2 linked regions of the Drosophila melanogaster genome follow. The protein of the gene in region 2 binds, or shares a complex with, the protein of the main gene of each other region. Each region holds a gene or a part of one and is shown on either strand. Other genes may lie near its edges. A codon is read from its position in the direction of its gene.

What was found.
Region 1: the proteins of Dcr-2 (region 2) and r2d2 are in contact, whole or in part, in a cryo-EM structure (PDB 7V6B), measured with the Drosophila melanogaster proteins. Residues at the interface, in NP_523778.2 of Drosophila melanogaster: Lys244 (codon at 3,461), Ser248 (codon at 3,473), Leu251 (codon at 3,482), Met252 (codon at 3,485), Asn253 (codon at 3,488), Ile301 (codon at 3,632), Val305 (codon at 3,644), Arg311 (codon at 3,662), Leu321 (codon at 3,692), Arg324 (codon at 3,701), Thr325 (codon at 3,704), Thr328 (codon at 3,713), Glu331 (codon at 3,722), Lys332 (codon at 3,725), Arg334 (codon at 3,731), His335 (codon at 3,734), Leu336 (codon at 3,737), Val338 (codon at 3,743), Tyr1089 (codon at 6,183), Met1090 (codon at 6,186), Val1093 (codon at 6,195), Leu1100 (codon at 6,216), Ser1101 (codon at 6,219), Thr1102 (codon at 6,222), Tyr1103 (codon at 6,225), Pro1104 (codon at 6,228), Val1105 (codon at 6,231), Glu1106 (codon at 6,234), Leu1107 (codon at 6,237), Asp1108 (codon at 6,240); in NP_001162903.1 of Drosophila melanogaster: Met109, Pro110, Val117, Gln118, Gln119, Ser120, Glu127, Val129, Ala135, Ser136, Ile137, Val138, Arg139, Tyr140, Leu160, Asn164, Gly217, Met218, Arg219, Leu220, Cys221, Arg223, His224, Asn225, Lys228, Val270, Glu271, Ser272, Ser273, Leu278.

What each region holds. Positions count from the first base shown.
Region 1 is NT_033779.5:7,798,309-7,802,624, forward strand, and holds r2d2 (r2d2), read left to right. Parts: upstream 1-1,838; 5' UTR 1,839-1,944; exon of another isoform or gene 1,945-2,037; 5' UTR 2,038-2,194; coding exon 2,195-2,339; intron 2,340-2,412; coding exon 2,413-3,203; 3' UTR 3,204-3,790; downstream 3,791-4,316. Other genes in the region: Herp (Homocysteine-induced endoplasmic reticulum protein), read right to left, coding at 1-315, 1,001-1,204; Cdc14 (cell division cycle 14), read right to left, coding at 4,179-4,316.
Region 2 is NT_033778.4:17,575,356-17,583,481, reverse strand, and holds the start of Dcr-2 (Dicer-2), read left to right. Parts: upstream 1-1,956; 5' UTR 1,957-2,055; coding exon 2,056-2,076; intron 2,077-2,136; coding exon 2,137-2,267; intron 2,268-2,388; coding exon 2,389-2,566; intron 2,567-3,005; coding exon 3,006-3,313; intron 3,314-3,369; coding exon 3,370-4,066; intron 4,067-4,129; coding exon 4,130-4,687; intron 4,688-4,753; coding exon 4,754-4,928; intron 4,929-4,986; coding exon 4,987-8,087; 3' UTR 8,088-8,126. Other genes in the region: CG6484 (uncharacterized protein), read left to right, coding at 1-240, 657-1,352.

The sequences.
Region 1 (4,316 bases), on a different chromosome or scaffold from region 2:
CCAGGGATTGGCCAAACCGATGTCACCCGTCACGTGTGGTCCAGCGTTGCCCTGCTGTGCCTGCTGCTGATGTGGAGCATGACGTTGTCGCAGCTCATTTGCATTCCCAGTGACCTCGGGCCCAGCTGGAACCGCATCCTTCTGCGGAACAGTGGGGGCTTTGGCAGCCGGCCTTATCACTTGCTTGCTGGCACACACCAAGTGAAATATGTGGTGCTGTTGGTAGACATCCTTGTAGCTGCGTATCACCTCAGATATCTTTTGGGAGTCATCTAATAGCTTGCCCGAGTAAATAAGTTTCTGGTCCTGGATTAACTACAGAAAAAATGGAAAGAAATAGTTATAGTGGTCAAAACATAAAACATAAAATTTCACATTATAGGTATTCAGAGGGAACCTAGAGATAACTCATTGTTGCTTTTACCTCCGCGCGAAATTTATACTATCAAACAGTGCCTAAATCTATTTATTTGCACACTCCAAGAGATAACAACTTGTACTTGTCAGTTGACTTTATGGAAATGATACTTGAAACTAAATAAATTTTTATAAATTCTACTTGATTTGCTCTGGAAATAAAGAGTGCTAATGTATTTTTTCTGCCTGCAATGATCTGAATCTTTAGTATATATCAGTGATATTGATATGTGGGATGTACATATGTACATAAAAAACTTGGCACATGAGTGGAGCGTGAATATGTCCAAAAATCTTATCACTTTCTAACCGTAACCAAATTAATCCCAGTTCCCAGTTCCGACCCATCGATTTGGCATAGACCAAGTGCATGACGCAAGTGCATGACGGCGACTATAATTTAGAGGAGCAATCCACTGACGTGTACTTGCGACTAAGACGCAAATAGCTTTGGGAACCGACACACCTATGAATCCTAAACGAAGATGATAAACAATAACAAACTTCTCGATAAGATAATGGGGCTCCTGGCCAGTTTTCTACCTATACGATAACAAGGGGGGGAACCAACTCGATAACCCACCGGTTTGCCAGGATAGATAAGAGATAGGTGCTTCTTCAGCCTCTGGACCGTCCAGCAGAGATCGGAGTCCACATTGAGATCCTCATACTGCTGGTTGGACGACTTGATGAGCAGCCGGACACTGGTTTCCGGATTCTTTTGACGGGTGGCGGCATCGCAGCCCGCGGCTGTTGCGGCTGCGGGTGGGGCGGCGTTCTCCTCCATCTGGCTGACCCCGCGAATCGGAGAACTTTCTATTGCTAATTAATGACCGCGATACGAAGATCGGTGATGGGTTTTTGCTGCGCTAGCGGGGACACTTTTTACGCAGCCACTGTTTCTCACTTCCTACTCCGCTCTGCTCTCTGCGTATTTTCGAGAAATAGTTTATTCTGAATTTGACATTTAATTTGGTATTATGCTATTGTTTGGTTTTCAACAGCTGTTCGTTCTGTGGTGTTTTGCTCGCAGCACAGAGTTATTGATTATGAAACGCAGTAAACGTTCCGCAGTTGATCAAAAACTACTCTTCATTTGGTTCTGACCTGTGGCAAGTGATGAGCGTCGGTCACAGGGCTGCCGCGAGTAGCAGGTATTTTTAAGTCGCAGGTTGCACAAACAGCTGAGAATTGATTTTCCAAAGTGTGTGGGATGTGGCAATTTAAGTACACAGTTGGAAAATATTAAAGTCGTTGCTCAAACACTTGGTTTTAGTGTTTTTAGAATTTATTCCTTTGAAAAATATACGGTATCTAGTTATTTGCAGTTGTGGATTTTGCTCATCACTGACAGCAACACTTGTTAATGCCATATACTACGCAACAGGGTTGCCTTGACTTACGGGGATGCCAACTCGCGTCATCGTGACGTGTCGATTATGTATAACACTTCAGACGTTGAACTTTGAATGAAAACACCGAATAGCATATAAAATGCATTTGCTCCTTAGTAAAAAAGTTAAGAAGGTTTGCCGCTGTTTTCGTATTCGAATTACGAATTCAATACTATTTCGTGAAAATATTTTTTTGACAAAGCGGCATAAAATAATTCATTTACAGATGTCTTCGTCAAGATTTCCTATTCTATCGTTGCCGCTTCGTGATTCGCGTGCCATCTCTAATAACATTGCAGTGCTTTAGATATTTTATAAATTATATATATGGTTATATTCTGTTGAATGTTAGCACGTCCGACGTGCCTTTTCCCCTTGAACTCATGGATAACAAGTCAGCCGTATCTGCTCTACAGGAGTTTTGTGCCCGGACACAGATTAATCTACCAACATACAGTTTTATTCCCGGCGAAGACGGAGGGTACGTCTGTAAAGTTGAACTATTGGAGATAGAGGCCCTTGGAAATGGTAAATTTAAATTACAAATCTCAACCACTATTTATATTCGTATCTAAACCGCCACATATTTATCCAATTCTAGGGCGTTCGAAGCGTGATGCCAAACACCTGGCTGCCAGCAATATCTTGCGTAAAATCCAACTGCTGCCCGGCATACACGGCTTGATGAAGGATTCGACTGTGGGTGATCTGGATGAGGAACTGACTAACCTCAACCGGGACATGGTGAAGGAGCTGCGTGACTACTGCGTCCGCCGCGAGATGCCACTGCCCTGCATTGAGGTAGTGCAGCAAAGCGGCACCCCGAGCGCCCCGGAATTCGTGGCCTGTTGCTCCGTGGCCTCCATAGTACGCTACGGAAAGTCGGACAAAAAGAAGGATGCCCGTCAGCGAGCGGCCATTGAAATGCTGGCCTTAATCTCCAGCAATTCGGACAATTTGCGTCCGGATCAAATGCAAGTAGCGAGCACAAGCAAATTGAAAGTTGTTGATATGGAAGAATCTATGGAGGAATTGGAGGCATTGCGCAGAAAGAAATTTACCACCTACTGGGAGTTGAAGGAAGCCGGGAGCGTAGACCATACAGGCATGCGGCTCTGCGACCGACACAACTACTTCAAGAACTTCTATCCTACCCTGAAAAAGGAGGCCATTGAGGCCATCAATTCAGATGAATACGAGAGCTCCAAGGATAAGGCTATGGACGTAATGAGCTCTTTAAAGATAACACCCAAAATCAGTGAAGTGGAATCTTCATCGTTGGTTCCCTTGCTTAGCGTCGAGCTTAATTGTGCATTCGACGTGGTCCTTATGGCAAAGGAGACCGATATCTACGACCATATAATAGACTATTTTCGCACCATGTTGATTTAATGCGTATAACATTTATTCAACTATTCTAGCTTAAAACTAAGTAAACTCGTTTTATTTACACTCTAGAATGCACATATTTCATTTAATCTTACGATTAATACAATCTCCACCAATTTGTAGGTGGGAAACATAAAAAAATTATTTTCAAGGTCTTTTAGTAAACATCTATGTTAACTTTGTACACGATTGAGATAGGTGTAAAAAATCCAAGGAAATAAGTAAGGGGAGTGGGTACAACAACTTTTACTTTCGAGAAGGTATAACATAATGATATTATTAATTACTTTTCGATGCCAATACCAATGTTAATTCTATTAAAATGTAAAGTATTTATACGGTCCGAACTTATTGTTTGCAACAACTGATTATAAAATATTTGAAGCAATTTACATAAATATGTATTGCACAGTGAAATTAAAAATCTGAACATTTGCCTTTAAAAGGAATGCTAGTAATCAAAGACTTACTTGAAACAAATATTTTAAATAATTTGACGGAAAAAAATGGTAAAAATGCTGCATTTCTTTTTTTTTTTACAAGTACAACTTTTATACGAATAAAAGGGGTTTCAGTCTAAAATAAATAAAGTGCTTCGTAGTCTTCAGCATTTTTGATTTTATTTTTACAACACAATGCTAAAATGAAAACTAAGCGTTCCTCTTAAAAACTTTCAACAATGTATTAACAATTTCAATGTCAATTGCTTGCCTTTTAATGGGTTATCTTATATTAGTACAATATGTTAAATAACAAATCCATAACAATTTGAAATGTTTTCCTAAAAAAAAATGTAAGTGTATAAATGAGATTGTTATTGCAAATAATTTCCTAATCAATCACCAAATTTGATTGCATTGGAATATCTAAAAAATCATTGCATTCGCCACATCAATCTCATCATCTCATCGGGAAACGTTCAATTTACTAGTCAAAATAATATTTACACAACTAAAGGAAACAATATATGATTAGTGTTCAATAGCTAATCTTCTTGCGCAGCTTGAGATTGGATTGTTGATGGTCCAGAGACTGTTGTTGTTGTTGTTGCTGTCGCTCCCGATCCCGATCCTTTTCGCTGGACGCACGACTCACACCGCGTACCAGGTGCTGTTG
Region 2 (8,126 bases):
GGCTATTTGGTGGGCGCCTTCCTGCCCCTGCTCACCATCAATATCCTGTGCGCTATTCTGCCCGTAATCTTTGCTATCATACACTTCTTCATGCCGGAGTCACCCGTCTACCTGGCCATGAAGGGACGCAACGATGATGCCGCCAAGGCCTTGCAGTGGCTGCGCGGCAAGGATGCCGATATCGATGACGAGCTCAAGGAGATCCTGGAGGAGTCCCAGAAGCAGATTGATATGCCACAGGTTAGTTAACATTCCACTAATAATCAATCAATCAATCAAAATCGATCGATATTGAAGGCATAAAGAAACTTTATAAAGGGTTCGCAGGGCTTTAACAGATTTATTACTCTTTCCATTATCACACAATCGGAAGTGATACATACATATACTTACCCTGATAAAAGAAATGTTGTAAATTCAGATAGTATATAATATTTTGTTTTCATTCATTAAGATTTTCAATAACTTGAACCAAGATAGGGTTTGCATTAAACTTAAACGATTTCGTAGTTAAACTACATATGAACACAGGTACGTAATTTGTTTCCATTATTCCATTTAGTAATCAGTGTAGCAGATACTACTTATCATACCTAATAAATACATTGATTTTGGTGAAGATTAGAAAATAATACGTGGTCTTATTTTTATTGCAGGTCAACATTCTGTCCTCCCTTCGTCGACCCATCGTCCTGAAGGGTCTTGGAATCGCTGTGCTCCTGCAGGTCTTCCAGCAGTGGACGGGAATCAACGCCGTTCTCTTCTACTCCGCCTCCATTTTCGAGGATACGGGCTCTGACATAAGTGGCAGCGATGCCACGCTTATCATTGGAGTCACCCAAGTGACCAGCACGCTGGTTGCCGTGGCCATTATCGACAAGGCTGGCCGTCGCATCCTGCTCCTTATCTCTGGCGTTCTGATGGCCGTGTCCACTGCACTGATGGGCGTGTACTTTCAGCTAAAGGAGAACGATCCGGCTTCAATGGACAATTTCGGTTGGTTGCCGATCAGCAGTATCTGCATTTTCATAATCTTCTTCTCGATTGGATTCGGACCGGTGCCGTGGCTGGTGATGGCGGAACTCTTCTCGGAGGATGTGAAGAGTGTGGCAGGATCGATTGCCGGCACCAGCAACTGGCTGTCGGCCTTCGTGGTCACGCTGCTCTTCCCAATCCTCAAGAGCTCGATCGGGCCGGGTCCGACCTTTTGGATCTTTACCGCGATCGCGGTCATCGCCTTCTTCTACTCTCTGTTCTTCGTGCCGGAGACCAAGGGCAAGACAATAATCGAAATCCAGGACCTGCTGTCCGGAGGAAAGGGTGTCAAAAGTGATGACAAGAGCCAGACGTGATGATGTCGCGTAGTCTTAGTCGTAGCGATACTTTTTCATATTCTCCTTAAGCCAATAAGAAAATGTTATGTATAAGAAGTGAAGAGCATAATCAATAAAGTAGAATCACCATGTATATAAACTACCCGATTGAATTTTCGTTCATTTCCGTCAGTGTAGTTCTAATTAGACTCAATTAGTATAATTCTAATTAGTTTGACAAGATTTTAAGTCTTGGAAAAAAATGAGGAAATAAGAAACTTTACTCGTATGGAGGAGGGCTGCAAACGAAGGTCTAAATGATCTAAGGATAGTATGGGTCAAAAAGTGATGTGATATATTCTTAACAATTGGTATTGATTAAGAATTCAAATAATAAATAATTCACGAACTTACACTACCGAAAATGCTTATTATTTTGTTGCAGATTTCGATAAAAATGGAAACGTTTATTATTTCCGGAAGGTATATTATTGGCAGCGAGCATTTCAAAACAAATTTATTTATGTTGCGGTTTGTGGTAATAATTTAAGTTCAAAGAACCGCACTGCGTAGTGTGACCAGTCCGTTTTGAAACACAATTCTTAATACGTTTGACACAAGGCATCTTATAAGAGCCGCTGGCCACTCTGTCACCGGCTTCTTTGTTCTTTAATCGTAAATTATTTGACTTCAAATTGTAATATCAAAATATCCCGAAGACTCTGTAACCAAGAGCGAAGATATGGAAGATGTGGAAATCAAGGTAAAATGAATTGGCTTGCGCTCTCGCTTATTGCAAAATAATTAACAAAATCCTTTCCAGCCTCGCGGCTATCAACTTCGCCTGGTTGACCACCTAACGAAGAGCAATGGCATTGTCTACCTGCCCACAGGATCTGGGAAAACGTTCGTGGCCATCCTGGTCCTAAAGCGCTTCTCGCAGGACTTTGACAAGTTAGTAGCGAATGGATATACATATATATATTATTATATGTATTACCTATATCCGATACTTACATTTATATATATATTATTATATGTAATACCTATATCGGATTCCGATTTGTTTACACAGACCCATCGAAAGCGGCGGAAAGCGTGCGTTGTTCATGTGCAATACTGTGGAATTGGCCCGACAACAGGCGATGGCCGTCAGGCGGTGCACCAACTTTAAGGTTGGCTTTTATGTGGGTGAACAGGGAGTGGATGACTGGACGCGCGGAATGTGGAGTGATGAAATCAAAAAAAACCAAGTGAGTATAGGATGGCGGAGGCATTTTTTATATACGCATATGATCACGTACGGACTAAACACTACACTACCACTACACACTGCAATTGCGATCACCACTTGAGTCGAAAAATTTGGGATCAGCATTTTTATGGGCTCGTAAGGGGTCGTGTTTTGCTAAGCCATCACAAAATCATCATTTCGTCAATTGATGTATTTTATTTGTTTTTTTTTTTTTTTGTAGTATGTTTATTTGTTTATTTATTTATTTTATTTGTTTATTTAAAATTAACTTGAGTTTGTGGATTGTTCTGGATCATCGAGTAGTAGATTTGATGGTCATTTTTATTACATTGAATTCATGTTAGACTTTTCAGTGTAATTCGAGGAATATTTATAGTTAATAATAATACACTGCTTCCAGAATTAAACCTACATGTGTAATTTTTGGTTCTTAACAGGTTCTTGTTGGCACAGCCCAGGTCTTTTTGGACATGGTCACCCAGACGTACGTGGCTTTAAGCTCCCTGAGCGTTGTCATCATAGACGAGTGCCACCACGGCACTGGTCACCACCCATTTCGTGAGTTCATGCGATTGTTCACTATCGCTAATCAAACAAAATTGCCGCGCGTGGTGGGTCTCACCGGGGTGTTAATCAAGGGAAATGAAATTACGAACGTGGCCACGAAACTTAAAGAGCTAGAGATCACATATCGGGGAAACATCATTACCGTGTCCGACACCAAGGAGATGGAAAACGTGATGCTGTAAGAGCGGGTGGCATTTTAGCTACAGTTTCCCAACAAGTGCATATTCTTTTCAGGTACGCCACCAAGCCCACAGAGGTCATGGTGTCCTTTCCACATCAAGAGCAAGTGCTCACGGTTACAAGGTTAATAAGCGCAGAAATTGAAAAGTTCTATGTATCCTTAGACCTCATGAATATTGGCGTTCAACCGATCCGAAGGTCAAAGTCATTGCAATGCCTGCGGGATCCGTCGAAGAAGAGCTTTGTAAAGCAACTGTTCAACGATTTTCTGTACCAGATGAAAGAGTATGGCATCTACGCAGCTTCCATAGCCATAATCTCGTTAATTGTTGAGTTCGATATAAAGAGGCGCCAGGCCGAGACGCTAAGCGTGAAATTGATGCATAGGACGGCCTTGACCTTGTGCGAGAAAATCCGTCACTTGCTGGTGCAAAAACTGCAAGACATGACTTATGACGACGACGATGACAACGTAAACACTGAGGAAGTCATTATGAACTTCTCCACCCCGAAAGTGCAGCGATTCCTGATGAGTCTTAAGGTATCCTTCGCTGATAAAGATCCCAAAGATATCTGCTGTCTGGTCTTTGTTGAACGCCGCTACACCTGCAAGTGCATCTATGGCTTGCTGCTCAACTACATCCAGTCTACGCCTGAGCTGCGAAACGTGCTCACGCCCCAATTCATGGTGGGCCGCAACAATATTTCTCCAGACTTTGAGAGCGTCTTGGAGAGAAAATGGCAAAAATCTGTAGGTGTGGAAATTATCGTTAATTGCTGATATTTTTCAAAATATGCTCTTACCGTCTCGCAGGCCATTCAGCAGTTTCGGGACGGTAATGCCAATCTTATGATATGTTCAAGCGTCCTAGAAGAAGGCATCGATGTGCAGGCCTGCAATCATGTCTTTATTCTTGATCCTGTTAAAACCTTTAACATGTACGTGCAGTCAAAGGGTCGGGCTCGTACCACTGAGGCCAAATTCGTGCTGTTCACAGCTGATAAGGAAAGGGAAAAGACAATTCAGCAAATTTATCAGTATCGAAAAGCGCATAATGACATTGCCGAATATTTAAAGGATCGAGTTCTAGAAAAAACTGAGCCAGAATTGTACGAAATCAAAGGGCACTTCCAGGACGATATTGACCCTTTTACCAATGAGAACGGTGCCGTGTTGCTTCCCAACAATGCCCTGGCCATACTGCATCGCTATTGCCAGACAATTCCCACGGATGCTTTTGGCTTTGTGATCCCCTGGTTCCATGTATTGCAAGAAGACGAACGTGATAGAATATTTGGTGTTTCTGCCAAGGGCAAGCACGTAATTTCAATCAACATGCCAGTAAATTGCATGCTAAGAGACACAATTTACGTAAGCTAGAGATTCAGATTGAAAATGGCAAAATCAAATAGAGTTAATTGCTTTCATTTCTTTCAGAGCGATCCCATGGACAATGTTAAAACAGCCAAAATATCAGCTGCCTTCAAAGCGTGTAAAGTACTCTACAGTTTGGGAGAGTTAAACGAGAGATTCGTGCCCAAAACATTAAAGGAGCGCGTAGCCTCTATTGCTGATGTTCATTTTGAGCACTGGAATAAGTATGGCGATAGTGGTGGGTTCACAAGAACTCGCATAAGATATGTTTACTTATATTAATCTTTCAACCATAGTGACTGCGACAGTCAACAAGGCCGATAAGAGCAAGGACAGAACCTACAAGACCGAATGTCCATTAGAGTTTTACGACGCACTTCCGCGGGTAGGTGAAATCTGTTATGCCTACGAAATATTTTTGGAGCCGCAGTTTGAATCGTGTGAGTACACGGAACACATGTATTTAAATCTCCAAACACCAAGAAATTATGCTATATTGCTGCGGAACAAGCTGCCACGCCTTGCAGAGATGCCCCTGTTTAGCAATCAGGGTAAGCTACACGTTCGAGTGGCCAATGCACCACTTGAAGTAATTATCCAGAACTCCGAACAGCTGGAGCTGCTCCATCAGTTTCACGGAATGGTATTCCGCGATATCTTGAAGATTTGGCATCCGTTCTTTGTGCTGGATCGTCGCAGCAAGGAGAACTCCTACCTGGTAGTTCCTCTCATACTGGGTGCGGGTGAACAGAAATGCTTTGACTGGGAACTGATGACCAACTTCCGAAGACTACCGCAAAGTCATGGGTCAAATGTACAGCAACGCGAGCAACAACCTGCTCCACGTCCTGAAGATTTTGAGGGCAAAATTGTTACACAATGGTATGCCAACTATGATAAGCCCATGCTGGTCACAAAGGTGCACCGTGAGCTAACACCGTTAAGTTATATGGAAAAGAACCAACAGGACAAGACCTACTACGAGTTTACCATGTCAAAGTACGGCAACCGCATTGGTGATGTTGTTCACAAGGATAAGTTTATGATCGAGGTCAGAGACCTTACGGAACAGCTCACTTTCTACGTTCATAATCGTGGAAAGTTCAACGCGAAGAGCAAGGCTAAGATGAAAGTTATTTTGATTCCGGAGCTATGCTTCAATTTTAACTTTCCTGGGGATTTATGGCTTAAGTTGATCTTCCTACCCAGCATTTTAAACCGCATGTACTTCCTTCTCCACGCAGAGGCCTTACGTAAGCGATTTAATACGTATTTAAACCTCCATCTGCTGCCTTTTAATGGAACTGATTACATGCCCAGACCACTAGAAATTGATTATTCGCTAAAGCGGAATGTCGACCCCTTGGGCAATGTCATACCAACTGAGGATATCGAGGAGCCGAAATCCCTTTTAGAGCCAATGCCCACAAAGTCCATTGAGGCGTCCGTGGCCAATCTTGAAATAACAGAATTCGAAAATCCCTGGCAAAAGTATATGGAGCCGGTTGATCTGTCGCGAAATCTTTTGAGTACGTATCCCGTAGAGCTGGACTACTACTATCATTTTAGCGTTGGTAATGTATGTGAGATGAATGAGATGGATTTTGAAGATAAGGAATACTGGGCAAAAAATCAGTTCCATATGCCCACGGGTAATATCTATGGCAACAGAACTCCGGCCAAGACTAACGCAAACGTGCCAGCTTTGATGCCGTCGAAACCGACTGTCCGCGGGAAGGTAAAACCACTGCTCATTTTGCAAAAAACTGTTTCCAAAGAACATATAACGCCAGCGGAGCAGGGCGAGTTTTTGGCTGCAATCACTGCCTCGAGCGCAGCGGATGTTTTCGACATGGAACGCCTTGAGATTCTGGGCGATTCCTTCTTAAAACTTAGTGCCACGCTCTACTTGGCCAGCAAGTATTCGGATTGGAATGAGGGCACTCTTACAGAGGTCAAATCCAAGCTTGTGTCTAATCGTAACCTGTTGTTCTGCCTCATCGACGCGGACATTCCCAAAACGCTCAACACCATTCAGTTTACGCCTAGATACACATGGCTTCCACCTGGCATCAGTTTGCCCCACAATGTTCTAGCCTTGTGGCGAGAAAATCCGGAATTCGCAAAGATTATTGGCCCACACAATCTCCGTGACTTGGCTCTCGGCGATGAGGAGTCCCTGGTGAAGGGCAACTGCAGCGATATCAACTACAACCGCTTCGTGGAGGGATGTCGAGCAAATGGGCAGTCCTTTTATGCCGGTGCCGATTTTTCATCCGAGGTGAACTTCTGCGTGGGACTGGTCACGATTCCCAACAAGGTGATAGCCGATACCCTTGAGGCGCTATTGGGCGTAATCGTTAAGAACTACGGATTGCAGCATGCCTTCAAGATGCTAGAGTACTTCAAGATTTGCCGTGCGGATATTGACAAGCCGCTTACTCAGTTACTGAACCTCGAACTGGGCGGCAAGAAAATGCGGGCGAACGTGAATACTACAGAAATTGACGGCTTTCTCATAAATCACTATTATTTGGAAAAAAATCTTGGCTACACGTTTAAGGATCGACGATATTTGTTGCAGGCCCTCACCCATCCCTCGTATCCCACTAATCGCATCACTGGGTCCTATCAGGAGCTGGAATTTATTGGCGATGCCATACTCGACTTTCTAATCTCTGCCTATATTTTCGAGAACAATACGAAAATGAATCCGGGCGCCCTCACAGATCTGCGTTCCGCTTTGGTCAACAATACTACGCTGGCCTGCATTTGCGTGCGGCATCGGTTGCACTTTTTTATCCTAGCGGAGAACGCAAAGCTCTCCGAGATCATATCCAAATTCGTGAATTTCCAGGAGAGCCAGGGTCACCGGGTTACCAACTATGTGCGCATTCTGCTCGAGGAAGCTGATGTTCAGCCGACTCCGCTGGACTTGGATGACGAATTGGATATGACTGAGTTACCGCATGCAAATAAATGCATTTCTCAGGAAGCAGAGAAAGGAGTCCCACCAAAAGGTGAGTTCAACATGTCCACAAACGTGGATGTGCCAAAGGCGTTGGGGGATGTTCTGGAGGCCCTTATTGCAGCCGTATACCTGGACTGCCGAGATCTCCAACGTACTTGGGAGGTAATTTTCAATCTCTTCGAGCCGGAGCTTCAGGAGTTCACGCGCAAAGTGCCCATCAATCATATACGACAGCTCGTTGAGCACAAGCATGCGAAGCCCGTGTTTAGCTCGCCCATCGTCGAAGGGGAAACTGTAATGGTTAGTTGTCAATTTACCTGCATGGAAAAGACGATCAAGGTGTACGGATTTGGGAGCAATAAGGACCAGGCCAAGCTATCGGCTGCCAAGCACGCCCTTCAGCAGCTAAGCAAATGCGACGCCTAATATGATGATTCCAGCCCAGTCTAGTTTCTGCTAAACTGC